4 linked regions of the Rhinolophus ferrumequinum genome follow. The protein of the gene in region 4 purifies or fractionates together with the protein of the main gene of each other region. This does not show direct contact. Links are inferred from orthologs where the notes say so. Each region holds a gene or a part of one and is shown on either strand. Other genes may lie near its edges. The genes, in order: SON, CCDC86, EBNA1BP2 and SRPK3.

Region 1 (7,486 bases), on a different chromosome or scaffold from region 4:
TTAATTGGGGTAAAGTGTGTGTGTGTGTGTGTGTGTGTCTTGAAGTGCACATAATCATCCATCATCTATATACACCACAAGTGGTCACTATCAAAAGTCTAGACAGATACCATCATCTATCGCCACACCATTGACCCCTTCACCTCTTCCTCCCTCTTCCCCAACATTCTCCCCCTCTCATAACCACCACTCTGTTTCCTGTATCTATGAGTTTGTTTTTGTTTTGTTCATTTGTTTTGTGGGTTTTGGGTTTTTTTTAAAGGTTGTTTTGTTTTGTTTTACAAGAATCTTAACAAACGTAAGAACATGTCATTTACATGGTCATTTCCACTATTTTTGTATAAATTTGCAAAATTGTTTTAAAAAATAATTTCAAGAACACATTCAATTTAACTTACATTTTAGCTAACAAAACAGATGGAATTATGCTCCACTACCTGATGAAAAGTCTGAATGATCAAAAAAAATTGGTAGTTAACTAATTAAGGAACATTTGGTTTTCTAATACAATGATGCACATAATTAACATTTGTTGACTATTAGTGTCACAAGGTTCTACATTTTTTAAACTCATTTAATTCTAATGAGACCTTAAGATCAGCACTATTATTCTGATTTTATAAATAAGGAATATGAGGCACAGAAAAGACAAGAAACCTTGCTGTAGGTCACACAGCTATTAAGAGGTGAAGCTGCTATTCAAAGCCAGAGCTCATCCTCTTAACCACCATCTATATATAATAAACAACCTATTTTAACTATCTAAATTTCAGTCTCCTTACTGAAATTGACATATGTAAAAATAGATGGGACATAAAGCTCATGGAAATGGCAAATATCAAAAATCTGTTTTTCGACCGATAATGTATTACATGTTATTTGAGGAGCTGAATATTCCTCTAGTAATAAATTGCTTTCTCTGATATTCTTTAGAATTTCCTTCCAAAGCACTTTTCCTAAGCACTTACACATACGTAATTACCTCACTAAAAAGGCAACAGATTTAAAAATCAGAAAAGTACAACTAAAAAAAGTCAGTCTATGAGAAAGTAACCATCTTAAAGCTATCAGGATGTTTTCCTCAAAAGGGATGAAAATTTCAAACCATTAAACATCCATCAACACATTCCTACAGAATTCTACGGAACCATGAAAAAAATGTCCCATAAGTCCCAAAAGACTATGGAGATTGATTAAAGACAACCTTGCTCACAATATATTAGGTGAAAAAACAACCAACACAAGATAATCACATATCACAAGACATGTATGTGCATCTATCCACACAGGAAAAAAAAAAAATCAAAGAACATCAATAACTGTGGTGGTTTTTAATTTTGTTCCTTTTAAACTTTTTAAAATTTTTTCACAACAAAACACTTTCTAACACAAAAACCGATTTTAAAAGGTATAAAAGACATTACAATAAGCAAACACAACCACTTACTGCACGAGACTATTAGAATGTATCCCCCCCAAAATATATGTATTACATATTCCCTTAGCTCAGGTCTTTTCCCATCATCCTGAAAATACAAGCATGTAACAAAATTTTTGAAAGCAATGGAATGAGTAAGCGGATATATTTCCCATTTAAAATACAATATATCCTGTAAAAAATAATCCTAGCAATACTATATCGTTGCTCCAATAACGCTGTTAACTCGAGCGCTTAATTTACAATTGCGTTTTCCGTTGATTTTTATTGCTCCTGCTCTCAACTTTTAAACTAAAACTAGCAAAAACATTTGGACTCGGAACAAATATTTACGTTATACAAAGCAAAAAATACTGAAAGACAACCAGTGAACAACCACATTACCCACACTATTTTCCTCTGAGTAAACAACTATTTCTTTGGAACTCTCTCCTCGTTCAAATTTTGTGGAACCAAGGATAAACTACGTAGTCTACCAGCAATGGCAAAATGGAATGTGTTGTTCAAATATATCAATTGGGGCAACGATAGCAAATAAAAATTTAGATCTACACACAAAGCCCATCTTTCACTTGCTAAATTAAGAAATTAGTAGTAATTCAAAGTCCCCTTCCATCCTCAACTCGAAATTTTTGTCAAAGCAGCTAACATTAATTGAGTTTTTTTAATTTGAATTCCGAAACTTACAATGCTGCCTGGTGGAAGCCACAGGACACTAGGGCCCAAATAATCTAATTAGAGGATCCCGACCCCCAAATGGTCTGAAGCATGCAGTAAAAAGCGGATTTAAGTTTAGTCAAAAAAACGGCCGTTAGAGACCCTTTCCGGTCATAGGCACCGACCGGCGAAATCCGCGGAGGCTGAGAGGGGGAGGGGAAACGCGGCGGCGGAGGAGGAGCTGAGGAGGAACTAGGCCCGTCCCTAGTGGACAACCAGGCCTACTAACTAAAGGGTAGGGGACGACCAAACGAGAGAGAAGAGTGAGCTTCTTAACTCGGTCCTGGAGAAGAGTCTGGGATTACCTCGGAAAGAGCGAAGTTCCTCGCTGGGAAGGGAGGGAGCGGATGGGGGTGGGGGGGGCGGAAAATGGATCCCAGGCCCAGGCGGGGCTGTAGCGGGGCCTGAGGCAGGGAACGACGGCGTCTCTGAATAAAGGTGGTATGGAAGACTACATGATGCCCTATCGATCCCTTGGGAGCAGAAGAGTCTGGGAAGCGCCTACCTTGAAAGCTCCTGTTGAATTTCCCGGAATTTACTGACCACGAAAGACCTAAAAATCTGCTCGATGTTGGTCGCCATGGCGTCCGCTCCGTTCTCTCAACTCCTCCTCGCTAGTCCTCCAGGCTCCCAGAATGCCTCGGGAGGAGGCGCAGGGGCCAATTCCGTCTCTCGCAGTCCTGATTGGCTCCTGTGGGAGCGTCCGGATCTGCACGCTCTGCCAATGTACCAATCAGTGAGCACGGCCCTGCTCTCCTCCGCTGTTTCTGAGCGGCTTGGGTAGAGCTGCTGACGTTTGCGCCGCGCACGACTCTGTCCGCCATGTTAGTGACTGACGCAGGCGCCATTACAGGAGAAATCTCTCGAGGCGACTTTGTCAGTTTAAGTTGTCAGTCCCCAACAATGTTTGGAAGCTTAAGAGGCTTACTTTAGCCACTAAACTCCCGAGATTAAATACTATGAGGAAAGGGGGTAAGAAGGGCAACACGTTGGATACCGGGCCTCCGACATTCCCAAGTTGTTTCAGCAAGGGAGATGCATCCGGGAAAGCATTAATCAGCGCCCGCCCCCACTGAGATGCCAATAGGAAGGACACGATTTTACCCCATGATAGCCTATAATCAGTTTTGTTTTTAAGCAATAGGAAGTCTTGCGCGACCTGCGTTCAAAGCCTGGTGCATGCTAGTCAGGAGCCAGGCGAGACTATCACTGTAGCTGCTCGATTCTGACTCGTTAGCAACACACAATTAGCTAAGTGTGGATTCAGCGTTTTGGGACACTCCCCCTCCTCAGAGACCGGGACGCTCTCCGGGAGGAATAAAGACCTTAGGTGGCACCTGATGCTGTAGTATCACATAAGCACGCAAGGAAGGGCTTGCTAGCTTTGCGCTGGAGTGGGCTCAGGCCGCACCCAAGAATGGGAGGGAACACACTGATTACCTCGCGGCAGAGACCACGGTTTGCGTTGACCAATGGGGAAGCGAAGCCCACCGCGGGGCGGGCCCGGAGCGGGGAGGAGGCGCGCGCCCCGGATCCCGGTGGGCTGACTTCCGGCGCGCGCGGGCGCTCGAGCTCCAAGCGCGCAGTCGAACTTGTGAGTGCCAGCGGCCAGAAGGCCTTGAGTCGACATTGTGTTCGTGCGTAAGCCCTCGGCGCTTTTAAGTAAAGTACATTTATGCTTTGGTTTGGGGATCTAATATTAGGAATTGAATGAACTAACTCCAGTTGTGAGATAGCTGTAGAAACTGGTTTGGCTATAGGAATACTCAATTTTTAAATGCACTGAGTGGGGGTTCGCCATGTGCTTTTCATTTTTAACTGAGGTTTACATTGGATCTGTCACTTTCCCTGCTTTCTAAGATTCAGGCCTTTTGTATCTTTATGCTTCTTTTTTTAGGTCATAAATATAAGTTGTATATTTTCTTGTTATGCACCCATTGTGTCTAGCAGATTAGTCCACCTCTGTAATTGGTTTTTACTTTATGTTACTCACCAAATCCATTGAAAGCCAGGCTTTACCTGGCTCTCTTCATCTCGTTATGTTACTCACTTGGATAACTGAGGCCCGAGAAAGTTAAGTCCCTCAACGTATCCTGGTTAATAAGGGACAGTGTCTCAACCCAAACCAAGGCACCCGGATTAGAGCCTGGGCCTGACCACTCCTGGTGTAGATTCGTTCAGGCTGAGTCTTCTCTTCCCCTTCTTGTTCAAACAAAATGTAATATTTTCTCTAGTTTTAAAGCTGTGTTTCTTTCAGATGTTTCAATGCACATGGCAAATCTGTGTTTTCTGTTAAATTAAAATAACTTTTTCCTTTCTGAGAAGATAATTTAGTAATTTTTTTCCCTCAGGTTTTCAATGACCACCATCTCCTTGTTACAGTATCTGATGAAAAATTGCTTCAGTTGCAATACATGAGCTCTGACCTGCAAGTTACTTAACCTAACTGTACCTCAGTTTCTTATCTGTAAAATGGGGATGGTAATAGTATCACATAGAATTAGGAAGATTAAGCAAAGTAGTTCATGAAAAGCGTCTAGAATGTAGCATCTGGCACAAAGTAAGTGCTCAAAAAGTGTTAGTTTTTTCTATTATCAACTTAGGTTTTTATTTAAATGTGTAATCCTAGCATCTCACAAGAAGTTACAAATTTCAGTTTTCTTTTTCCCATTTTCAGTTTGCCTTCTACGTAATTAAATGTCTTCTGAAAATTAGTAAATTAATTTGCCAAATTATTCATTCCTTTTGCTTTTTTTTCTGTTAGAACTTCTAACTTCTAAAGTATTACTTTAAGTAAAAGTACTTAATAAAATATAACAAGTTAGCATTTACTACTGCTGAATGTCAGAAATTGTACTAATTGTTTATATAAATACCCTTCCAGTTCATCCTTAAGTAACCTTGTAAGGCAAATTTTCTCCCATCTTTTAAGATGTGAAGAAATTGAATTAGAAATAATAAGAGCTTACCCAAAGTCACACTGCTAACCAGTGGAGAGATAGCTGTTGCCCCATCCTGCTCAGAATCAAATTCCAGAACAATGTGAGACATATTCAAATTTGATTTTTGCCTTCTCTACTGATTTTCTAAAATACTGCACTAATTTCTTAAATCGGAGGTCAGCAAACTATGACCTTTATGCCAATCCTTCCTGTCAACTGTTTTTGTACAGCCCACCAAATAAGGATAGTTTTCACGTTATTAAATGTTTGGGGGAAAAAGAACGGTGTTTTTATGACACGTGAAAATTAAAATTCAAATTGCAGTGTCCATAAACAATAGTTTTATTAAAACACAGCCATGCTTATTCTTTATAAACCTCTGATTACTTTCTATTGCTTAGAGCAGAGATAGCCAAACTATGACCTACTGCCCATGGCCTGCCTGTTTCTGTAAGTTTTTACTGGACATAGCCACATTTATTTATTTATATATTGTCTATGGCTGTTTTCATGCTACAGCAGATGATCACAAGATTTAAAAATAGTTATTTTGAGTTCTGGTCTAGATGTAAAACATCAGGATTCATTTTTAACTGAGGCTCGATTATTATATCTTCTAAAAACCCAGAAGGTTATTGTTCATACAAGGTTTGTTTTTTGTGTTTTTATTAATCCAATAAGGAGTTAAAGTCACCATTTTACTCCTTAACTTAGCTCTCTAGGCCTGTCTGCCTCATTTTTAAAACACCTCCCTAATCATGAATACAGTCATATTTCTCATTATTTCATTTCTCAAATTCATCCTAACTTTTCACAAATGAATTGTTGGAATACATCATATTTAAAAATTGTTATTTCTAAAGTATGTGCATTCTGAAATACCGATTGTGGTTTTCTTTCTGCAGCTCTCATTTTCCTTCTGAATTCCTACTTTGCAGACAGCAATGGCAGCCCGAGTACTTGTAATTGGCAATGGAGGAAGAGAACATGCACTGGCGTGGAAACTTGCACAGTCTAATCATGTCAAACAGGTGTTGGTTGCCCCAGGAAATGCAGGCACTGCCTGCTCTGAAAAGATTTCAAATGCTGGTAATCATGTTTTAATTATAAATGATAAACTGTCAACTGCATCTGTTTTTTATAAGGTCAATTGCTATTCAGATGTGAATGCTTTTCTTAACCTTAAAGTTTATGAGGTAATTTGAATGTTTGCCATATATTGTAAATGTAAGGTATACTGTTGTTCGGTATGTGGCATTTTCTTATCTTAAATTATTTTAAACCTTATAAAACACATCCATTAAAAAAGTCACACATGCCCAATGTAGGTAGGTTAAAGGCATTTTAATGTGTAGTTTTGGACATGAAAAGTTGAGCAGTGCTATTAAGTTCTGGCAATTCTATCTCCATCATAGGTCTCAGCCTTTATCTCTTTAACTGGTAAAAATGAAAAAATGATCAGTTCTTATGCTATATTAAACTCTTCAGTGGCTTCCTATAGCACTTAAAATAAAACTCAAAAGTCCTTAGTGTTCCTGATGAAGCCCTTTGTGATCTAGCCTGTGCCTGCCTTTCCGGTATTATTTGTCATATCCTTTGTTTTCTTTTCACTGTGCTCTAGCCATGCAGGCTGCCAGTTTCCCAAACAGAGCTGCCTAGGCCTTTGTATTTGTTCCCACCTCCAGCATTAGTGGCTCCTCATTATTTCAGATCTCAGCTTATATGTTATCTCCTCAAAGAGGACTTTCCTAAAGTTTCTAAGTAAAGCATGTCCACCTCACATTTTATTTGTTTGCGATTGTGAACCATTATCTATATTTATTTTTTACTTGTCTATTGTCTGTCTCCTACCTTCACTTCACCCCTAGAACGTAAGCTGTAGGAGGTAAGCTACATCAGGGCAAGGAATTCAACTGTCTTGTTTTATATTGTGTGCCCTGTGCCTAGTACCCTATGTGGCTCATAGTATGTATTGGAGAGAAGACCCAGCAAGCCATAAACTGGGAGAAGATAATAGCATACACAGGACCAAAAATAACAATAATAAGAAAAAGATAAATAAGGAAATATCTGCTTCCCTGGGATCTTAGCTAGGGGGTGAGATATTGTATGTTTATTGAAGAACTAGCACATTTTATGTAAAAGCAGTTGATGCCATGCAGGCCAGCCCATGAAAATGTCCCCGATTGTCCTGAGGCTGCTACCACTTGCAGAGACAAGCTAGATGTGTCCTCTTCCGCATGCCACCCTCTGCTGTGCTGAGGTAGTTGGCTCTGCTCAGCCCACTTGTGTTTGCAGCTGCTTGCCCAGAGTGCATTGTACTCCATCCTTATTCCACTCAGGCAGTTCCTGTGGACTGAGAACTCTACCCTTTCTGCACTTATCCCCA
Region 2 (7,081 bases), on a different chromosome or scaffold from region 4:
TCATCAGGGGAAGTCTTGATTTCCTTAAGTGGGAAATCCTTTCTTAATGGGAGAAAGGAGATGATCTGTGAGAACGCACACTGCAAGGAGTGTGGGTGCAATGACACGCCTAGGACGTGCTGTGAAATATTCCAGAAAAGAAAAAAAAAAGAAAAAAACATCAGAGAGCAAGATGACGCTTGACCAGTAAAATGCTGAGGACTATGGAAGCTGGTGATGAGAACGTGGGGTTCATTAAACTGCGCTCCCCTCAGCTGTAGGTCTTTTTCCTGAACTCTAGGCCTGTTTGGGTGCCCCGTGGGCCTTTTCTCCTTGGCAGATCCTCTCATCGGGGCCTTTTTGCCTCCTCCAATATCTTAACTTGCGAAAGAGTTCCTGCTCATCCACGTCCATTACGTGGTGCCCTGACCTGTCACAGCAGGTCGGCGGTCCTGTCCCAGCCTCTGAAGGCTGTGATGCCTCCAGGGCAGAGCCCACTCCCATCCACGGGGAAGGCTCGATATGGCTGTCTTCTCCCCTTCTTGCTTCACAGGAGTCTGGCACACACAGCTGGATTTGACCCCACACCTGTCCATATTCAGGCTGATTCTGCTCTCCCTCCCCCCACTCTGCCTGACAGAGCTCAGCACACCCCCGCACTGTTCCGTCTCCCTGTCGCCAAGGGCCTGCTGCGGAAGACCCGGCCTCTGAAGCACAGAAGAATGAGGCTGCAGCATGACCTTCTTCCCTACCCCAACAGGGGTCCGAGAAACCCAAATGGACCAGGCAGTGGGGACCTGGACAGAGCCACAGGACACAAAGCTGCATCTTTCTGGAGCAGCACGGCCAAGCAGAACTCTCTGTAATGGTAGAACTGTTCACATTGATGCTGCCCAAGAAGGAAGCCACTAGTTACTTGGCTGCTGAGTACTGGAAATGTGGTTGGTGTGACTGAGGAACTGAATTTTTAACTTCATTTAATTTTAATCAACTTAAATTGAAATAGCCACATGTGTCGGTGGCTAAGGTATTGGGCAGGGCCGTTCCAGAGCATCAATTTTACTTGGAGATCGGAGGAATATAGGCCTGGGTTCCAAGGCCCGAATCCACCACTTACTACCTGTGTGACCTTGGGCAAGGTAGCCTCTCAGCACCTTCCCATGTCACATGGAGATGAGAATCATTCTCATCCCAAAGGACAGTGGGAGGATTAATCGAGACTTGGCCTGAGAATCACTTAGCACAGTGCTCTGCACCTAGTAGATGCTCAATAAACGCCACCCTTCAGAGAAGGGAGCCAGCACACCCAAGGTGGCACTTAGCATGAGCAAGGAAGGTGGGGCTGCAGCCAGGCCTTTCCAGCTACCTCTATAGCCCCCTTTGCTGGGACAACTCCTGGAGCAGGTGCTGCCTCCACTGTCTCTGGGCTCACTCACCAAGATCACAAACATCAATTCGATGGCCCTTTGGCCCTTATCCACAAGACCTGCCTGAGATTCTGAAGGTGTTTTAATTCTACTGCAACAGCTTCTGCTTTCACACGGGACCTCCTACGGTCTGCTCACCGTTTCTCTGCAGAGCCTTGGCTTCCTCATATGTAAAGTGAGGATAAACCTGCTGATTCACAGGGCTGATGTGCAGATTAAACCCCATGATGCATGTTGGTCCCTGTGTCTGAAAAGCCATCCCCTGGCCAAGGCCTACTGAAGTGCTTAGCAGTGTCCTGTATACTCAGTCAGTGCTGGTAATACTTTCTATCACAAAGGCAAATAACTGTAACAGATAATAGTGGGTGAAGACCTCACTGCTTTTTATCAAGTCACAGCTGGTTTACTTGCTTCTGCCTCCCTCACTGGCGAAGGCAGACAAACGCAAATGCCTGTTGAATGAATACACAAAGGAGGTTCTTCGGAGAGATGCAGAGACCCTGAAGAGAAAAGCAGCACAGAAATAACCATGCTCCCCGGGCCCCGGATCCCAGGGCATTTTACCACACTCTGATTATAATTACCAGTTTGTGTGAGCTCTCTCCAACCTAGGGGCTGTCTCCAGGCTGCACCGGTGCCCCAATACCACAGAGAACCCCACCCCTGCCCAGCTGCCCCCCCCCCATTTCACCTCTTCTTGGAGCGGTCCTTCCACACCCGCCCCGATTTGGGCTTTCCCTTCGGGATTACAAGAACCTCCATCTCCTCCTTCAACTTCTTGGGCGCTGGGGCCTGGTCTGAAGATCCTTTTCGCTTCTTTGGCCCTAGGCCGTCTCTCCCCGGCTCCCCGGCGGGAGGTGGCTTGCTCGGCTCGTGCTGACCCCGAGGGGAGCCGGATGACTGGGGTTTCAGCTCCTGTAGTGGCGGCGAGGGCTCCGGACCTGGGGCTCGCTGACCCGGGTAAGGCTCTGGTGATCCCGGGCCCGGCTGCAACTGATGTCCGGGAGACCCCGGCACTAGCGCCTCCTTACTGCGGGCCACCTCCGCGTCCGGTTCTTCACGGCTCTGGAAGAACTGTGGTGACTCCCCACTTGGCTTTAGCTGACGTCGGAGGGATTCGGGACTCGACTCCTCCTGTCTTCGGGGCGACTCCAGGCCTGGATGTTGCTGACTCTGGGGGGGCCCTGAGCCCGGATCTGCCTCCCTGCGGGGGGACCCCAGGCCTGCCCCCTGCGGTAGACTGGGTGATCCCGGGTATGTCACCGGCTGACGTCTGGGGGATCCCGGGCCGGGTTGCCGCACACTCCGAGGAGACTCGGGCTCTCTCGTTTCTTCTGGGTTCAACTCAAACTCCACAAGGACCCGTCTCGCCCGCAAAACTGAGGTGGGACGATCGGTGGATTCAGGCTTTAGGCCTTCCAGCCGCCGGCTGCGCCTCCGCGGTGTATCCATGGCCCAACCTGAAAGTTTCCCGAATCCGACTCCACGTGCAGCGCGTGGGGCAACTGGCGCTGTTCTATGACGTCAGCGTCCGCCACGTTGGTGCCGGGCAGGAGCGGCTATCGCCAGGGCAGCCATGTTGGTGATGGGCAGAGAGGCGGGGTTGGTGGCCCGAGGGGCTGGGCTTACTGTGCGCATGCGCAAAGCGCGGTGGTGAATTTGCTTGGGATTGATGAGCGAACGAAGCCTAGCTTGAGATCCCGGTTTACCTTTCCTGCAATTTCCTGGGGAAAAGAGAGTGCAGGGGACCCATTTCCTGGAGAATGGAGCCCGTAGGCAAGGCTGGATGAAAACTTGGCCACTGACTCCTGTGTAGTAAGGCAGGGGTCCCACCCTCTTTGGACCTCAGTTTTTTCACGTGTAATATGGGTGATTTTGCACTCGCTTAGTGTATCTAAAATGACCCTGTCTGAGTACTCCTAATTGCCAAGGTAGTACCTGGAGGATCCTGGAGGTGGGGAAGTCCGGAGTTACCGGCGGAGTTACCGGTGAAATGGTCATACCTTTGCCTTCTTTTCTCCCACTCTGTGCTTAAGTATCAAATCTATGATTCGCCCTTTTCAATCAATATTTCCAACGTTTACGCATGAAGTTGAGGTACCAGTAAGATGTATCACCTTTGTCCTGGCACACCTGGGCCCTCAGCCTCACGGCATACCCTCTCGATTCTAGAGACAGATTGGATGGTCTCTGAGCTTCCTGTCAGAGGAGACTGGTCTTTGCCCCAGTGTGTGAACCTGCCTTCTCCCCTCCTTTGCGTGAGACCCAGGCAGGGCTTCGTCATTCACAGCACAAGTCTTTCTTAGGAAGAACATCTTGGAAGTTGCCCAACTGTATCCCCGCTCCACTGTTATTCTTAGAACTGCCTGGGGATGGCCCTCTGGGATCCCAGGGCTCCTGTCCTGCTGTCCCAGGGGCTTCTTTTAGAAAACCTTGTTTCTCCAGCAGAGGGGTTGTGAGAAGGCCTGGGAAACTGTCCAAGGATGCTCAGGAGTCACAGGAGAAAGGTCAGGGCAGACATGCGAGGCCTCCGCGCTGAGCACAGCCCCCACCTGCTCAGTCACTCTGCAGTGGCAGGTAGAGCTCAGCCTGTCTTGACTGTGGATCAAGGAGGAGGTAAAGAGGTTCCAGACAAAGGTTCCTGAAGGATGGAAAAGTGGACTGACAAGCCCTTAACACATCTCACTCCTTGGCTGGTGCTATGTAACATCCACAATACATCCTGATGAATTCAGCCTGTTGAAATCACCTCCCCAAAGGTAAGACGACGGCATGGGTTCTCCAATGTCCCTCCATGTCATCAGAAATAGCTGCACCCTTGGACTGTTGTCATGTGTTAGTCCCTGCCTTCCTGGCCCCTTTCAGAGGCTCCTTCTGCAGGCTCTGCACCCTCATGATCCTGGGCCAAGGAACGCCCTGCAGGGAGGCTTACCTCAGTCTCCTGCCCAGCAGTACGGCTCCCCACTGCAGAAGCAGCTCGGCCCTGTCCTTGCCCAGCTCTTCCAGCCCCCAGCTCTTGGTTCCTTCAATTCCTGCACCTGCCTGGAGACCTGAGTGGCCTACTGCTCAGAACCAGGTCCAGTGTGTGTTACCAGGGTTATTGGAGGAGACCGTATGCCACCGCACTACCACTGTCCTGTGTCAGGTCCCCTCAGCTTCCTGCGTCCTGAGCTCCTGTCCTCAGCTGGAGGGATGGCTCTCAAATGCTGGATGGATCACATCCAGGCCAGGCTGAAAGTACTGCAGAGGGTGATCTCAGGTCCCTGCCAGGGTCGTGTGAGAGAAAGAGATGTTTGACAGACATGGGCTCTGTGGGTACCTCTGGAATCATGTGTGGAGACCCTTTATCAACCTAGGCACCCGGCGAACTGTGGCCCAGACCCTCCACTCCCACCTGACCTGTTTGTCATTGTCACTGTCAGTGGTGTGCAGGGCCCCAGAGGAGACCCCTGAATTTTTCAGAAAAGTCTGGTGTGGCATTTGGGACTCTGTTCCCTCACACTCCTTTGCTTTCTCCCGCAAACATCCCAGCCTCCTTACCCTTGGGTGGGAGGACGTTGCGGGGGTTCTCACAGTCCCCCAGAGGACCCAGCAGGATTGAGCCCCACTTGCCTACGAAGGTATCCTGGTCATTCAGGCATCCTCTTTTGGCGTCTTCTCTGTCCCTGCCTCACTTTCTCACTGGTAGGTGCTCACTGAGGTCATTTGCTGAACAGACTATCTGCACTTAAATCCTTGTCTCAGTCAGCTCTGGAGGAACCCGGCCTAAAACACTGGGGCAAGCAATTGTTGGGCCAGGTATTCTTCCAAGTACTCTATATGTACAGAGCCATGTAATCCTCACAACGACCCTGTGAGGCAGGTGCTGTTATTACTCCCATTTCACAGATAAAGAAACTGAAGCACAGAGAGGTTGGGACACTTGTAAAGATCACACAGCAAATCAGTGTTGTGGGATCCTCACCTAGGCTGTCTGACTGCAGAGCCACAACCCTTAAGAGTAAATCTTCTGTTACCCAAGTAAGGAAACTGAGGCACAGAAAGGCGAAGGTGCTTGCCCAAAGTCACACAGCTCTACATCAAGGAGTCAGGAGTACAGTTCCAGAGCCGGCATACTTAGCTGCCTTGCATCTGCCTCTCACATGGGCCTCGCTCGCCCTTCCTCACACTGACCCTGGTCTGTATACTGGGAGCTGCTGGGTGCCATGTCGCCCCATGGGCTGGCCATGGCTCTCTGTGCATACACACTGGGCAGACTGCTGAAGGATTATTTATGTAACCTGAGATCTGCTGACTGATCATCTGCACCCAGAGATGACCAAAGATACAGATCAGGTGTTCTTCTCTGAGCCATTGATACTCCACCCAGCCAAGGGTGCTGCCATTGAGAGCGTGTGACATATCAGGGGCACACATCACCACAGCCCTCTGCTCAGGACCACAATCAGAGATAAGCAGAGAAAGGGTTGTGGCAGTCACCTGAGCACTAACTGAGCACTTCCTAAGTGCTGGGCCTCTCCTGGGTGCTCGTTTAATCCGCTGGAGTGCGGATGCAGGAGGGTGATGCCTGCACCAGGAGGGTGCTTCATAAGCATTTGCTGAACGTGGGAATAGATGTCCATTATGACCCCCTCAGGGCTGGATGAACAGCCCTGGTTTACCAACGAGGAAATCCGAGGCTGGGAGAGGTTGTGATTTGGTGCCTGGCGACTTAAGGAGAAGGTGCCTGGTGCTAGGACAGCCCTGGAGCTCAGGGCTTCCTGACTCCACATCCATGCCCCTACTCTCACATCTGCCAGGCCTGGGGGCCGAGTATGTGTAAGGACTTGGCAATTGGGATGCTGCTGAGTGTGGCTGGAGTGAGGGCAGGACCTGAGGAGGCAAAGATGTCCCTGGGCTGGGGCTGAGTGTGAGCACACAGGTCCAGGCTGCCCTCTCCTCCACTCAGAGGTCTCTTAAGTATGTGAAGTCAGCTTTCCTGTAGCTTTCCAGAATTGTCTTTTTTTCTAGGCCCAACATCTGCTCCTCCAGCTGTCCCTCCCACTCTTGGGAAAAGACACTAGTTCTCTACAACCATTCCAGAATGTGGTGCCCAGAGCTCCCTCAGGCACCCAGCCGGGATGCCCCACAGAGCTCCAAGGCATTTGTCACTTCCCTACTCCACCATTCCTTTCAGTGTGGCCAGGTCCCCATCCTCTTCCCGACCGTGAGCCATCAACTGACACCTCGAGTCTGGTTCCAGCTGCTGTTCCCCGTATCCCAGTCACGAGCTGTTGGTTTTTCTGGACAAGTGCCGGCTTTGTCATTCGGCCTTGCTACATTTTGTTTTGACCTCGCTGGAGACCCGGCTCTCCTCCTTCAGTGTTTGCTCCCCCTCCTTTGCGTGTGTGAACCCTGAATCAGGCCCTGCCGAGAAATTGCAACAGGACCACATTATTATGTCACTTCTTATCATGAGCAGTCATCTCAGAGGTTCATCGTTTCTTTGTGTTCCCAGCAGCTCACAACGAGTCTCAGATTCTCAAGAGGAGGGGCAGAGACCTCAGCAGAGGGGTGAGGGGGATGGATGGGAGTGGAACCTGAGACCCCTGCTGTGAGACCCCCTCTCTGTCCCCATAGAGCGTCAGCAGGGTGCAGAGAACCTGCCGGGGCTGGGAAGGGACCTCCTTGCACAG
Region 3 (6,875 bases), on a different chromosome or scaffold from region 4:
GTGACACACTGGCATCAAGAAGAGAATGAGTTCATGAATACTAGAGCACACACACCCCACTATGAAATAATAAGCACATGACTGAACACATACAGGGCATGGAACAAATCAGACCACGCAATCTGGCCTGAAAAACACACTCGGCCTCATCCTATCCCCTGCACACTTTCCTTCTCACCTTCTTTCCGTATTTCCTAAGTGCTCGCAATTGCTTAGCCTTTTCAGACTTCTCCATGGCGGCCTGTTTAGCTTGCAGTTTCTGTCGAATCTAAAACACAAAATGTTGTCAGCTTGTTAATTGAATCTGAGATGACCACTAGTTAGGGCACACTGGAGCAGAAAACAGATATTCCCAGTGCTGCAAACTGTGGAGCTCAAAGGAACCTTGATTATCACCTATTCCAAGTCCTGTGTTTTACACCTGAGGCTAATGAGGCCCAAAGGCTCAGCACTCTGTCCAAGATCCCAAACGTAGCAGCGGTGGAGCTAGAACCTGCAAGCAAACTTCCCATTCCCACTGTGCTATTTGTTCCATTATACAAAACTGCTTGCAATTTTGCCAAGAGAAATTAACTTCTCCCCATCCCTACTGTCCCCTTCTCCAATATACCACATACACATTAAAAACTCCAACAGATATTGGGCACTTCGCCTTTTCCATCAAACATACACATTTCAGTTCAAGGATGAACAGTTGTCAGTGTGAATGTACAGAGATGTGTCTGGGCCCATCTCTAGATTAGCTTCCCTAAGTACCGCCAAGATAAGAGCTCCCTAAAATCCAGCTTATGACCCAAGAGAACTATGTCAATACATCTTGGATTAGATTTTGGCAATTCTCTTCCTCCCAAAGTTAAACGAGGACCAAGCTGTACCTAACCCTAAATTATACTACATCTCAGCCATACATTATTCCCTCATTTTACCAAAGAGAAAACTGAAGCCCAGAGAAAATGAATTGTCTACAAGTTGTAGCACTGCCCACTGGTAATGGCAGGACAAGAACTGTGTTTTTTCTATACAACATGCCATGATCATGGCAGCTAGGAAATGCAAAAGGCCATGTTTACCTTGGGGACCACACTTCCAGTTCTTTTCCTCCCCTTAACTGTTTCGTTTTTTTGCTTTTTAAAAAAAATTTTATTAAAGAAGGTCCACCACATAGTATTTCAGCCGCCCCATCTTAATTATTTAAATTAGGAAAAAGTCACCCTTACATTTATCTAATTGGTGGTGATTGTCATGAGTGTGAAGTAGACAACAGAGGTGATAATTGTCCTTTGACAACTGGTTCCCTATTATTAGGCTTAGTTTTTTAAACAGTACAGAAGGTAAGCCAGCTGAATATACTTAAGTACAACACCTTGGCTTTCCAGAAAAAAAACCTTCCCTGTTTCTTACCTTCTGCATCTGCTGATCAGACTTGGCCATCTCTGCAAAATAATCAGTGGGCCGCTTGGTAGGGACTTTGAGCTGATGGAGGCGGGGTAATACTGCAAGCACTGCGGCCTGGGCCTGACGGTAGCTGAGGATGTAGGACAAAGTGTGAAATAAGCTAAGAGGCCTTACATTCCTTCTCACTGCTTCTCATGAGTTATCCAAGGTCAGAAAGACTCTCAACATCTGACCTCCACCAGCAAGAACAAACACACAAACAAAAACACACAAATAAAAACCTCATTAACTTGGTATATAAGTTAATCTTGGAAAAATTTAACCTCATTTAAACCTCATTAACTTGGTATCTAAGTTAATCTTGGAAAAATTTAACTGTACACTCTTTTAAAAAGGTAGGGTGATGGGAAGTACTGCTGAAAATAAATGAATAGTTTAAGAGAATCACCACTCTAAAAGTACCCACTAACTTACAAAACTAATGCCAATTATGAATTATTAGGCAGTCGCTAAAAATGTCTATATAAGAAACTTCCATAAGCAAATTTTTGTTCTAATAATTGAATGTACAAAAAACTTTAGCTCTTTTTAGTCCAAAGAGGCCTCCCACCCTGATCCCAGGCTTGTGATAACTTCTGAGGAGTCCGGGCTCCCCACTTTCCTTCTCTCCTCCCTCTCTAGCATAGGGACCGACAACTTCTCCCACATTTGAAAACAAACATACAAGCTCATCTCCCGCTGGAAGTCATTTTCTGGATCAACAGCTTTCTGATCCTTGTCCTGAGGTGGTGACTGGGGTCCACTGATTTCTGGCACCGGACCGAGGGTGACATCAAGCCTTTCAACCCATTCCAGATCCCGTTTGAATTCAGCCAAACACTGTTTCAGGCCATTCTAAGAAATTCAGAGAGGGTGACATCAAGCCTTTCAACCCATTCCAGATCCCGTTTGAATTCAGCCAAACACTGCTTCAGGCCATTCTAAGAAATTCAGACACTGAGCTCCTAAGAAGGGAACCCTGAATATGTCTCTCTCAAGCCCAGGGTGCTAGGCGAACCGACAAAGTGCTATCCCCCAATACCCTGACAGGTAACTGACCCTCTTGACAATACGCACGCAGTGTCCTTTCTGGGACAAGAACTCAGTCACCCAAGCACATTTCGTTGTGCTCATCTCACGTCCGAGTACCCCCCTCCGCCAAGCGCCCGAGCTCACCACGTCGTTCACTGCCTTCTTCGGCCCCTCTAGCACGACATTGAGGCCTGGCTTCAGGAGACCTCGGGAAAAGGCATCCTGCAACTGCAGGACATAATCGGCGATAGGTACCAGGGGAGTAAGGACCTCTCCCCGCGTCCAGCCACGCGAGCTCGGCTGACACCTACCTCTTTGTCCGTGACAAGAGAATCATCAGAATCTGAGTCCGAACCTGAGAGCGGAGGAGTGTCCATCTGGCTGCGCGCACGTCCAACACGTCCCTGGGGAAGCGGAGTAGGCCGAGGCCCGCGCGGTTGGAAAGGGCACCTCTCGCTGCAGCCGCCGCTCTTCAGTCCTCTACCTTCCCGCCGCGGCTCCACGTGGAACCGAACCGCTCCACAGCCAACAACTCACTACTGCTGCGGGACTTCTTGATCTGGACTTCCGCTTCCGGGCCCAGACACACTTCCGGTTTTCCGTTGCTATAGGAACCGCTCCGGCGTCTCATAGTGCCGAGGTTGCCTGAGAGCCGTGGTACTACCCCGGGATATACGTGTGGTCTGGTAACTCGGGGAGGAAAAGCGAAAGGTGAGAGGGAATACCGGGAGGTGGGGGGATGGCTGGAGGAGAAGGAAGCCGCGAGGGTGCAAAGGAAGGGAGAATCCGGAGCCTCGGCGGGGTAGTGGGTGAGGGGCTCTGGAGTGGGCGGTGGAGGAGGGTTGGGGGCGTGGTGAGGGGCGTGTCCTGGGCGGGGCTGGGCGGCGATGCGCTTCTCCATGTCAACTGCGGGCTCGGTCTTTACAGATCTCTTTGGCCAGGGACCATGTCGACCGTAGTAGCTCAGTCGCACCATGTTTTTGGTCTTCAATCCCAAGTGGCCAACAATATCTTCTTCTTCGATGAGCAGATCATTATATTTCCTGCAGGAAATCAGTGTGTGAGGTACAATATGGATCAGAAGTGGCAAAAATTCATTCCAGGTAAACCCCTTTCCATCCTGCCACATACTCGTACATTAACCTTAGGTGGCAAATATAACCCCATAGTCTCAATACGATGACTGAAAGGAAATTTTTTTTGGCCAACTTGAATAAACGTATAGTTTTCCAAATGTGGAAGGAATACATGTCTGCTTGCATTATTTAACATGTAATCAATCACACATACACAGTTAAAATCACATGTAAAATAATGTTAATTTAAAAGTTTTTTTTCCACTGTGATCTAATGAAAAAAAAATGTAAAGAGTGTCTTTTCATGCATCTTCAAAATCATTGTGTTTGTCATCACCAGGGCCACTTTTTGAGTTATCTGACAGTTTTTCAGAGTATACCACCTTCATCCCAGCACCTTTATAATTCATGCATGATGAAGACACTGGAGATTTTATCCCAAGTCACAAATAACCATTTGTATAATGTCACATTTGTTTTTGTTCACATTGCTCCTGTCGATATATATGATTTCTACAACTTGATTATTTATTCCCTTTTTCCACTCTTTGTTGCATAGAGTTTTACCACATATGTGTAACTCCACGTAAGATACAGTTTTGTTTTTTGCTATTTACTAACTTTATATAAATGGAATCATAGTATATGTATTCTATGGCTGGCTTCTTTTGTTTAACATCAAAACAAACAAGGTGGCTCATGCTTTCGAGATTATACATTTTGATATATATTACATGCATCTTGAGTTCATTTTATTGCTATGTAGTGTTCCGTCCTATGAATCTAATGTCTCAACTGTATCTATCCATTCTGGTGTTGGTGGACATTTGGGAAACAACAGTTTTTTGCTGTTACCAACCGCGCTAGTGTAAAAATGTCTTTGCATTCATGTATGCTCATCCGCTTGTGCAGAGATTCTCCAGGACACACAGCCAGGACTAAAATTACGTAAGGCGGTAGTACCAATTTACACTCCCACCAGGAGTATATGAGAGTTGCCATTCCTTCACAACCTCGCCAACCCTTGGTATTGTCTAACTTCCTAATTTTTTGCTAACCTAGTGATTGATTTTATTGGTTTTCGTGTGCATTTCCCTTAATGAGAATGAATTTTTTTTTACATGTTTATGGGCTATTCCTATTCATTCTTCTGTAAGATGCTTTATTCATGTCTTTTACCCATTTTTCTGTGGTTTTGGGGGGCAATTTTCTTACTGACTTATGAGTACACTTTATATATTCTGTATACCACCGATCCTTTGTCCAATATATGTATTGCAAATAATTTCTCCCAGTTTGGGGCTTGTGTCTTCTCCCTACGGTATCTTGATGGACAGAAATTCTTAGTTTTTTTTTTGTTTTTTGTTTTTTTTTTTAGAAATTCTTAGTTTTAATGAAGTGAAGTTTATCAACATTTTCCTTTTTGTGTCTTGTTCAGGAATTTCTCCCTAACCCAAGATTATTAATTATTCTCCCATACTATCTCTTTTATGCTTTATACTTCTGCTTTTCACCTTTGAGGCTCAGAGTTAGGAGGGTGCTCAGTGTGTTAGGGGAATAGCAAGGAGGCCAGGGTGGCTCAAGTGAAGTGACTGGAACAATAGGCACTGAGAGGTGAGGCAGAGAAGTGATGGGGAGCAACCTCACTTAGGGCTTTATGGGTCATAGGCTCTTATTCTGAGTGAAATGAGAAGTCCTGGGGGTACTCACAACAGCATAACATGGTCTGACTTAACAGGTTCATCTGGCTACTGTTTAGAGAGTAGATGCAAGGAGGGGTAAGGGAGGAAGCAGGAGACCAGTTGAGAGACTATTGCTGTAATCCAGGTGAGAGAAAATGGTGTCATGGAGCAAGTTATAGGCCATAGGGAAGAGATCAAATCCGGGATACACTTGGAAAGTGGAGGTGACAGATTTTCTCAGAGATCTGATGTAGGGTGAAAGAGAAAAAGAAGTGGGGTTTTTGGCCTTATTAATCAGAAGGATGGAGTTGCTGTTAACTGAGCTGGAAGACTTGTCCACAAGGCACAGTAGGCATAGAGCCTAGGACCCATGATACATTTAAGGATAGAAGAAAATGTTTTAATTTTAATTTATTTTAAAATCAGGAAAAAAATGAATATAATAATAATGAACATATCAATGAATCCAGCCTGGATATATTCCTCTTTATACAAATGCTGTCACAAAATATAATTTTTAACATTTTTAATAGAGGAAGGTGTCCCTGAAAGCTAAAGTACCTAAGGCCCACAAAAATCATAATGTGGCCCTGATTGCATTTCACAAATAAAGTATTTGCACTTTAACCTTTGCCGCAGGCGCTGCTATCTAGAGGACCGTGGCTTTCATTCTCATGCTTGTTACTTCAAGGTTGCACGATGACTGCTGTATTTCCACATATCACCTCTGTATTCCAGGAAAAGGGGGATAGAGTGCATCCATCCCTGGTTTTCAAGAAAGCACAAGCTTTACCATAAAGCCAGTCAGCAGACTTCTACATCTATCTCCTGGCCAGAATGGCACATAGATCACCTATTTGCAAGGGAGGCTGAGGAATCCAGTGGTTAGCATTTCGGCCTTGAAAGTAGACGGAGAGTATTAAGTGCTGCCTGCTCAGGGCATAAAGGCCTCTATGATCTGATCCTCTTCCACCCCTCTAGACCCATTTTTGGTCATCCCTGGCTCACATGTGATGCTCTAGCAATATCCTACTTTCTCACATTCATACCTTCTCTCTTCCTGCCACCTGCCCCACTCCCCTCCCTGTCCCACATTGTCCGCCTCCAGGAATTGTTCCCTGACTTCTCCTCCAAGCTTCGCCTCAGGGAGGTACCCATCCTAGTCATTTTAATAATACCCCAGATATAGTTGTACCAAGGGGCTCGTGGACTGACAATGACCTGTTTCTGCACTTTTCTCCTATTGCGTCAGCCGCTGTGGCTGCTTCACGTTGAATCTTGGTGAAAGCTTCATCTACCCTTATTCTCCCTTTTACCTCTATTTTCAGGCTCAGAGAAGAGTCAAGGCATGTTGGCCTTGTCCATCAGTCCCAATAGGCGATACCTCGCTGTCTCAGAGATGGTGCAAGAAAAACCTGTCATCACCATTTATGAACTGTCATCCATCCCTGTCCGGAAGCGCAAAATCCTTAATAATTTTGACTTCCCAGTTCAGAAATTTACTTGCATGGCCTTTTCTCCAGACTCCAAATACCTGTTGACTCAGACATCACCTCCAGAGTCCAACCTTGTCTATTGGCTGTGGGAAAAACAGAAAGTAATGGCCATTGTTAGAATCGACTCTCAGAACAATGGTGTCTATCAGGTATCT
Region 4 (7,349 bases):
CGCTGGTTGGAAGAGCCTGAGAGGATGGAACACGAGGCGGGAGAGAAAAGGGAGCCGGAGAAGCCTGAGGTCTGGGAGCCGGGGCTGAGGCTGCGGTCGCCCCCCGTGGCAGGGGAGGAGGAGGCTGGGGAGGGGCCGGCCCGGGCCCCTCCAGGGTGGCAACCGGAAGAAGAGGTAGAGCCGCTGCCCCCCTCTAGTCTTGAGCTAGAGTCTGGGGAGAGGGGCAGAGGTGGTGTGTGAGTCGAAGCCCTGGCGGCCCGCGCTCAACAGCCCCAGGGTGGGGGGCCCCTCCGGCCCCTCACCCTCAGCCTGGGCAGCTGCCTCCAAGGCCTCCAGCCTCTGCAGGTCCCGCAGCCGCTCCTCCAGCAGCCGCTTCTGTTGTTTCCGTTTGCGCCTCATCTTCTTCCTCTTGTTTTTCGACAGCTTACCCAGCTGCTGTTAGAGCCAGGGTCACCCCAGGGTTCCTGTCGCCTATTCCTTGACCAGCTGGGACCTCTGCCTGTGGCCTACCACTCCACAGGGGACAATGCCTCTGGGCCCCAGGGCTCGCACAGATGTCGGAATGTGGCACATCCTTCTTCCAGAACACTCCTTGGCACCAGCCTCTCACCCACCTCCTGCCTTCCCTCCTGCCCCCACTCCTCAAACCTCAAGGTTAGGGAGGAACGGATGGGCCTGCATCTGACTGGGTGCCTGCTTCCTCTGGGGGCAGCCCTGGTCCCTCCCAGTGCAAGATGCGATGTCCTCACACTGAGGCAGTGGTGACTCTAGCAGCCACCAAGGGCAGGTTGGGGCATGTGACCCGCCACATGTATCACCCTCATCTGGGCTGCCCAGCCTTTTGGAAATGCAAGAGTGCTGCGGAGGGCAGGGAGGCTGAGGAGGCGAGCTCTGAGGACATGGGGAGATGAGGCACAGGAAAAGAGGGGTATCCCAACTTACCCAGACCTCCTGGGGGGCAGTGCTGACTGTGGGGGGGGAAGGAGGGGCACCGGGGGGAGGGGTAGAAAGAAAGGAACAGAGACTCAGGCAGGGGCTGAGACCCGCAGGCCAGCCCCAGCCCCATACAGCTCTAGTACCTGTGGAGCGGGATGGGGGCGGTGCCCCTGACTGCTGCCACTCCGTGGCCTCAGCAGCCAGGCGCCTGATATAGGTGTCACCCACACACAGCAGGATGTTCTCAGGCTTGATGTCTGTGTGGATGATCTTGCACTTGGTATGGAGGTAGTCTAGGCCGTGGAGCACCTGGAGACAGCCCCTCCTGAGCTCCACCAGCCGTACCCAGGCTGCCTCCCAGTGCTGTTCCCGTGGGCTAGGGGGTGCTCACCTGCCTCACAATGCTCTTCACACATGGCACAGGCAGGCCCTGGTAGTTGGACTTGATAATCCACTTGAGGAGCTGGTGGCCCAGGACCTCTAAGACCATGCACACATCTGGGACTGGAGTGAAGGGTGGCTGGCAGGCGCGCAACTGGGCACAGGCTCCACCCCCCATCAGTTGGGGTCGAGGAGCTGGGCCTGGTGGGCCTGGTGGTCACAGTGCCCCTGTAATTCTCAGATATGCCAGTTGGGATGGTACATCTGTGGTCATCCTAGGGAGAGGGCACTGGAGAAGCAGGACTCTCAGACCAGCCCCTCTTACGCCCAGGTACGCCGCAGACGTGGTGGGCCCTGCCATTTGGGGGTAACTTAGCAACATGGTTACCCACTGTGCCCCATAACGAAGTAGTGAGGGTATTTTGAAGACAAGGGTCATCATGCAGATCAGCAAACTGAGGCCCTAGCAGCTGGGAAGTCACAAGCGGGCGCCTGTGCTGCCATGGGGCTTTGATCAGCCTGCAAAGGATACGGACTCCATTAACCCCTGAGATCCTGAAGTCATCGATGAGCTGGACAATGGTCTCTCTTTTGGGGTCACTGGGGTCACTGTCTCGGACCTGGAGCAAAGGCCAAAGGGCCACGGATGGCTCCAACCTGCCCCTCACCAGCTGCTCCCGGGGTGGCAGACCCCTCTCCCACTCCAGGGGCCTGCTGGAAGGCAGGCCGCTGGCCCTGCCCTCGCTGGCTCCTCCAGTTCCTCCCACTTGGGCAGGGCCACCTGGAGCCCGCCCTTCTGGGAGTTCCGCCCCGCCCCAGAAGCCCCTGCAGGCCTGCACCCACATTGCCAGGCCCCAGGCAGCTCCCCGGGAGCTGGGAGTCAGTAGGGGAGGCGCCTCACACATTTCAGGAGCTTGATCTCATCCACAGCTGTCTCCGTGTAATGCCCTGCACTCTTCACTACTTTCAGGGCCACGAAGCGCTTGCGCCTGCAACGCCGAGACCCAAGTCAGCTGCTAGCCCCGGCCAGACACATGGGGACATCATAGTGGCCCCAACCAAGCCCAAAGGCAGGATCCCAGCCGGCACTGGGCCCCAGGGGGCAAAGGGGACACTCACTGGATGTCCCAGCAGAGCCAGACGGTGGAGAAGTGGCCCCAGCCCAGCTTGCGCACCACATGGTACCGCCCATTGAACAAGTCGCCAATCTTCACGGGGTAGTAGCCACCTGGGGGCAGGGAGCCAATAAAGACCGGTGGGGGGCATCACCCTGCTGGCACCCTGGCCCACGTGGACTGACACCAGCACCCTCTCCCTGGGCTGTCCCATTCCCCCCATGGGAGCTCCTGGCCGCCTACACCCCAGGCCAGGCCTCACCCTTGCAGTAGTCCTTGGGGTCCTCCTGCTCCTCGTCGTCAGAGCCCAGCAGCGCCTGCAGCATCCGCGGCACTGGCGCAGCGGGAGCTAGTTCAGAGCCCGAGGACTCGGGCCCACAGGAGGTCTGTGAGCTGTGGGTGGGTCGGGCGGGCAGTGAGCGTATGAGGCGCCAGGGGCCCCAGGCGCCCAGGCCGAGCCCTACCTGCTGCTGCTGCCGACACTGTCCCTGCCACCACCGCCAGCACTGGCACTCATCTTGGCCTCGCGGCCTGCAGCTCCGGCGCCCCGGGGGCTGCTCCTGTGGGGCCCGGCCTTGGCCAGAGCATTTATAGCCTCGGCCCGCTGATCTCACCCGCCTTTATAAATAGCCTCCCAGCTGCTCAGCTGTGGGCAAGGTATGCAGCGAGGAGGGGGCAGTGCAGCGACAGCGCCCCCCCCATCCTGGCCCCCTAAGACAAGCCCTCTTCCCCCCCACCCCCGCTTCTGCCCACAGCTGGCAGAGCCGGCCACTGCGGGGACAGAGCGAGCAGTCCCTCACAGACCCCAGGACCATCGGGTTACCCACGTGAGGACATGGTGACCGGGCCCCAGGGTGAGGCCTTGCACTCCAGAGACGGCTGAGGGGGTCAGCCAGGCAAGGACACCATGGACTTGGCAACCTAGTCCTCAGGCCAAGCTCCCACCCCCCACCGTGTGCTTAGAGCACCACCGACACTTTTGGAACCTTCTCTGGCTTCCCATTTTTCCTGTGCCTCATCATTGACCCCTAAGATAGATTGGAGCCCGATGTCCTCTTTTTCCTGAATGTGGATCACTGGGGGCCCTGGTATAGCAAGAGTCAGGGGCCTGAGCTAAAGGCAACACGTTACTCCCACCAGAGGTGCGGGCCAAATGGAAGCCTGGAAATCTGCCCAGCCAGGACTCTGGCGCTGGGACCCCGGGCAGTCTCCCTCTTGGCTCTGTTCCACGCCTGCCATCTCCGCCCTGCTCATTGTCTCCACCAACATGTGCCATGTGCCCCCATGGGAGGCACAGGGAGCTGTTGACCCTGGCCCTGCCCTCAGGGGTCCTCCTCCAGTGGGAAGCAAACAAGCCCACAGCTCTAGCGGGCTGGTGACAGAGGGATGTCCAGGTCAGGCAGAGCCTATGACTTTGGAGCTACATCAGAGGGACCAGGAAAAATCAGGTCCTCAGAAAGGGGGTGGATGGGTAAGCCTTCAGGGTGTCAAAGGCTGGGGCAAGGCTGGCAGCAGACTGGCTGGCGACCTCCAAGGCTGGACTGGCTGCAGAGTGGCTGGGGATTGGGGGGGCCTCGGGTGGCCAAGTATGTGCCTCCAGCAGAGGCTGATGGGCACTTTTGTTCTTTAGAAAGATCACTCTGGCTGCTCCCAGGAGGGAATGGAGAGGGCCAGAGTGGAGCCAGGAGGCCAGCTGGGCACTTTCGGGGAGCACAGGGGCTTAGCAGTGACTGTAGTTAGCCCAAGATGGGAGACATTTGGTTCTGTGTCCCTGTGTCAGAAAAGAACTGGTAGGGTGGGGTGGGAATAAACAGGGGTGGGAAGACAGGGACCCCTTTCCTGCAGGGGCCAGGGGAGGCGAGGGGAGGGAGGAGAGCAAGTCCTGGGGGTGCCTGATTACCCCTCTTTTCCTCAAGCAGCAGAAGTCACAGCCCTGGGGCCGTGTAGATTCCAGAGGAAGGCAGGGGCTGGGGATTGGGCTTTTTGTAAAAAGACAGATTCCCATTTTATTTCCAGAAGCAATTCTCCAGCAAGCAAATAAATACAATGTGGGGGGAAGGAGAAGGATCGCTATAAATTAGAAAGAAGCCCGGACGGGGAGGAAGGGCGGAGTGGGGGTAGAGGTGGCAGGGAGCCCCCCCCAACTCTGCCAGCCCCTCTTCGGTCGCTGGCTCGATCCAGGGGCCATAGGCACTGTGGTGGTGGGTCCTGCTTGCTGCTGTCCAAGCTGGTGGGCCTTGGGTGCCTGCTGTGGCCTGGGCTCACAGGTCAGTCACCTTGTTCTCCACCAGGGCAGCGACCTGCTGCAGGCGGCAGGCCAGCTGCATCTTCTGGCCCACAGGGTCTTCCTCCAGGGCACCGATGATCTGCCAGGGCAGAGAAGGGTGCCCAGCCTGAGCCTCCAGCCCTCTGCCCACTGGCCCAGGGCCACTCAGCCCTGCTTCCATCTCAGCAGCTCCTGGGGATCCAGTGGGGGCTGCTCTGGGCAGAAGCTGGACAGAAGCCAAGCTCCTTCTCAACCCGGGCCCTTCCTCCCCTCTGCCGGCTGGTTGGGCCTGGACACCTCCTCCGCCCCCAGGGCGGTGTCCCTTCCCCGGGAGAGTCCTGGCCTCACCTGGTCATAATACCTGTGGATGTGGTTATAAAGTTCTTGCAGAGCTTCCAGACAGTGAGGAGCAGAGGTGTAGTTCTGGGGGCAGCACATAGAGGGGATGAGGCCCCAGCCTGGGCCTTAAGCCCCAAGCCTCCCCCCCACTCTGTCCCCCAAATGTATAGGCGTGTACCCCTGGTCCGTGTCTCACCCCCGAGAGCTCAGCCAGAGCTGAGTTCATCTCCTGGTAGCTGGCTGGAGAGCTCTGGCGAATGTCGGAGTAGTATCTGGAGGAGGAGATACCGTTAGGGGCGGGCAGCCTCTACCCAAGCCGTGATACCCTGACACCTACCTCTCCACCATCTGCTTGTAGCGAGGGATCTCCCTGGCGTAGAGCAGTTTGTTCACTGGGGAATCCTGTTCCGGGTAGAGGTAGGCATGAGTGCAGAGGTGGGGAAGCCCCTGTCCTGTGACCCTGACAGTGCCACCAGTGCCCCCGACCACTAGCCTACAGTATGCACCCCCCACCCCAGCTCCACCCAGGGCTCTGCACCCAGCCCCCGGGGCTTCTCCCACAAGCCTTTTCTCCTCAAGCCCCTGGCTGTCGCCGAGGCCAGCTCTGCCCTCACCCGGCCCACTTTATGCTCTGAGAGGGTGCAGGAGTCGATGAAGGTCTGGGCGATGACGGCAAGGATGGCATCCACGTTGTCTGACACCCGCACATCAAAGATGAGCTGTGGGTTCTTTAGGGTGTTCACCCAGAACCGCAACAGCAGGCTGGGGACACAGAGTGGCCACGGGCGTGAGGCACGGCGAGTCTAGCACCCATCAGCCTGAGCCCCACCCTGAGTTCCCCAGGCAGCTGTCCTGAGACTTTATGCTGGGGGTGTGGGTTCCTGTTCAGGGCCTGCCGCCCGCCACCCTGGCAATGTCCTTGTCCCTCTGGGACTCCATGTCCCATCTTCGCGGGGATGGGGCCAGCTGGCAAGGTACCTGTTAGTTTTCCAGATGTGTAAGGTCTCCGGGTCCTCGATACCATGCTTCTCTGCCAGCTCATCCAGGAAGTCAAACAGGTACTTGACAGCGATGGGCACGGGCCGGTTCACGCTGAGAATGGCCTGGAAGGTGTCATCTACAAATTTCTGCAGTGTGCCCTGGAAGGCAGGGGCGGGGATTGCATCAGTGGCTGGGGCCGCCCCTTGGCCTCTCAGGACCATGCCCTCCCCGCAGCTCAGTCAGGGGCCCCTCAGGGCGCCATCCAGTCACATGGCTCCACCGACCTTCATGGAGAGCAGGCGGGTGAGGTAGATTTCTGGAATGGCCTTGGCCCGTTCCCGCTCCCGTTCCCGCTCCCGCAGGCTGCTGCGCCGCACCTTGGCACCTTCTGGCTCCTCAGTGCCTTTCACCAGGTGCCAGAGGCGGACCCCGCCCTCCTCACCATCCTCCAGCATGGGGATGTCTGAGGACACATGTGCTGGCCTCAGTCCTATGCCCCAACTTGATGGGGTGGGACAGGGTAGGAGGAGCCGAGGAAAGCAGAGGGTAGCAATGTGAAGAGGAGGGTGGCAGCTCAGGGGCTTGCTCAGCAATACCCCGTGGTCCTAGAGCTCCCTGGCCAGGACACACGTCTTCCCTCGTCTGACCCAGGCCCTCAGCTCAGCCTGGAGCTTTGGCTGGCCCACTGGCAAGGTCTGGGGAGACCCAGGGGATGGCATGACCAGGACTCCTGCCGGCCTGCCTAAGCTCCCAGGGGCACATGGGCATGTCTGCGTCGCAGGACTCACTCTCTCTGGAGGGACAACTCTGGGCCAGGCTCTGGGAGACAGCGCTTCTGTTGTGCAGCTGGGGGATGAGCCCCACTGTGGCCCCATCCGGGACCTGGCGGAGAGGGAAGCAGAGGCTGGGATCCTTCTTTGCTTCATCCCGAGGCATGGGCTTGTCCCCCAGCCTGTACCCGCCCCACAAACCTTGTAGTGCTGTAGAGTGTTGAGTCTCTTCCAGTGGTTCTGGGTCACTGAGGTCAGGTCCTCGTCTGATAGGGTTAGGTGACCAGCCAGGCCCGAGCGCCACTCTGGGGGGACCCAGAGAAGCCAATCAGCCTTCATCCCGTTCCCCAACTCTGCTATTCAGAGCAAGGCAGAGCCGAGCCTCTATAGGTGGAACAGACCCAGGGGAGGAAGGCAGATGGGCGTCTTACCAAGGTCTAGGGTGTGCACGGCAGGCCTCTGGGAGAAGGGGGTACCCTTGTAGACTTGGTCCAACACCTTCTCCTTCACCTGGGTGATGGTGTCTGTGTCGAGCACCCGGGCGGGCACACGCTGTGCCTC

Evidence for each region.
Region 1: the proteins of SRPK3 (region 4) and SON purify together in Homo sapiens (affinity purification with mass spectrometry; 3 studies listed by BioGRID and IntAct, with this or other methods). This does not show direct contact. The link is inferred for Rhinolophus ferrumequinum from reciprocal best matches to the Homo sapiens genes SRPK3 and SON.
Region 2: the proteins of SRPK3 (region 4) and CCDC86 purify together in Homo sapiens (affinity purification with mass spectrometry; 3 studies listed by BioGRID and IntAct, with this or other methods). This does not show direct contact. The link is inferred for Rhinolophus ferrumequinum from reciprocal best matches to the Homo sapiens genes SRPK3 and CCDC86.
Region 3: the proteins of SRPK3 (region 4) and EBNA1BP2 purify together in Homo sapiens (affinity purification with mass spectrometry; 3 studies listed by BioGRID and IntAct, with this or other methods). This does not show direct contact. The link is inferred for Rhinolophus ferrumequinum from reciprocal best matches to the Homo sapiens genes SRPK3 and EBNA1BP2.

What each region holds. Positions count from the first base shown.
Region 1 is NC_046285.1:99,475,333-99,482,818, reverse strand, and holds the start of SON (protein SON), read right to left. Parts: upstream 3,008-7,486; 5' UTR 2,738-3,007; coding exon 2,661-2,737; intron 1-2,660. Other genes in the region: GART (trifunctional purine biosynthetic protein adenosine-3), read left to right, coding at 6,042-6,186. UniProt on the Homo sapiens protein: RNA-binding protein that acts as a mRNA splicing cofactor by promoting efficient splicing of transcripts that possess weak splice sites.
Region 2 is NC_046294.1:9,918,677-9,925,757, forward strand, and holds the start of CCDC86 (coiled-coil domain-containing protein 86), read right to left. Parts: upstream 3,003-7,081; 5' UTR 2,859-3,002; coding exon 2,098-2,858; intron 1-2,097.
Region 3 is NC_046292.1:30,447,466-30,454,340, forward strand, and holds the start of EBNA1BP2 (probable rRNA-processing protein EBP2), read right to left. Parts: upstream 3,017-6,875; 5' UTR 2,844-3,016; coding exon 2,778-2,843; intron 2,695-2,777; coding exon 2,611-2,694; intron 2,290-2,610; coding exon 2,120-2,289; intron 1,526-2,119; coding exon 1,402-1,525; intron 269-1,401; coding exon 179-268; intron 1-178. Other genes in the region: CFAP57 (cilia- and flagella-associated protein 57), read left to right, coding at 3,413-3,569, 6,553-6,869. UniProt on the Homo sapiens protein: Required for the processing of the 27S pre-rRNA.
Region 4 is NC_046284.1:6,645,141-6,652,489, forward strand, and holds the start of SRPK3 (SRSF protein kinase 3), read right to left. Parts: upstream 3,015-7,349; 5' UTR 2,950-3,014; coding exon 2,897-2,949; intron 2,826-2,896; coding exon 2,695-2,825; intron 2,546-2,694; coding exon 2,437-2,545; intron 2,307-2,436; coding exon 2,219-2,306; intron 1,938-2,218; coding exon 1,850-1,937; intron 1,435-1,849; coding exon 1,328-1,434; intron 1,246-1,327; coding exon 1,080-1,245; intron 969-1,079; coding exon 943-968; intron 436-942; coding exon 303-435; intron 212-302; coding exon 1-211. Other genes in the region: PLXNB3 (plexin-B3), read right to left, coding at 4,694-4,798, 5,047-5,121, 5,234-5,309, 5,375-5,439, 5,652-5,799, 6,016-6,176, 6,303-6,481, 6,807-6,900 and 2 more. UniProt on the Homo sapiens protein: Serine/arginine-rich protein-specific kinase which specifically phosphorylates its substrates at serine residues located in regions rich in arginine/serine dipeptides, known as RS domains.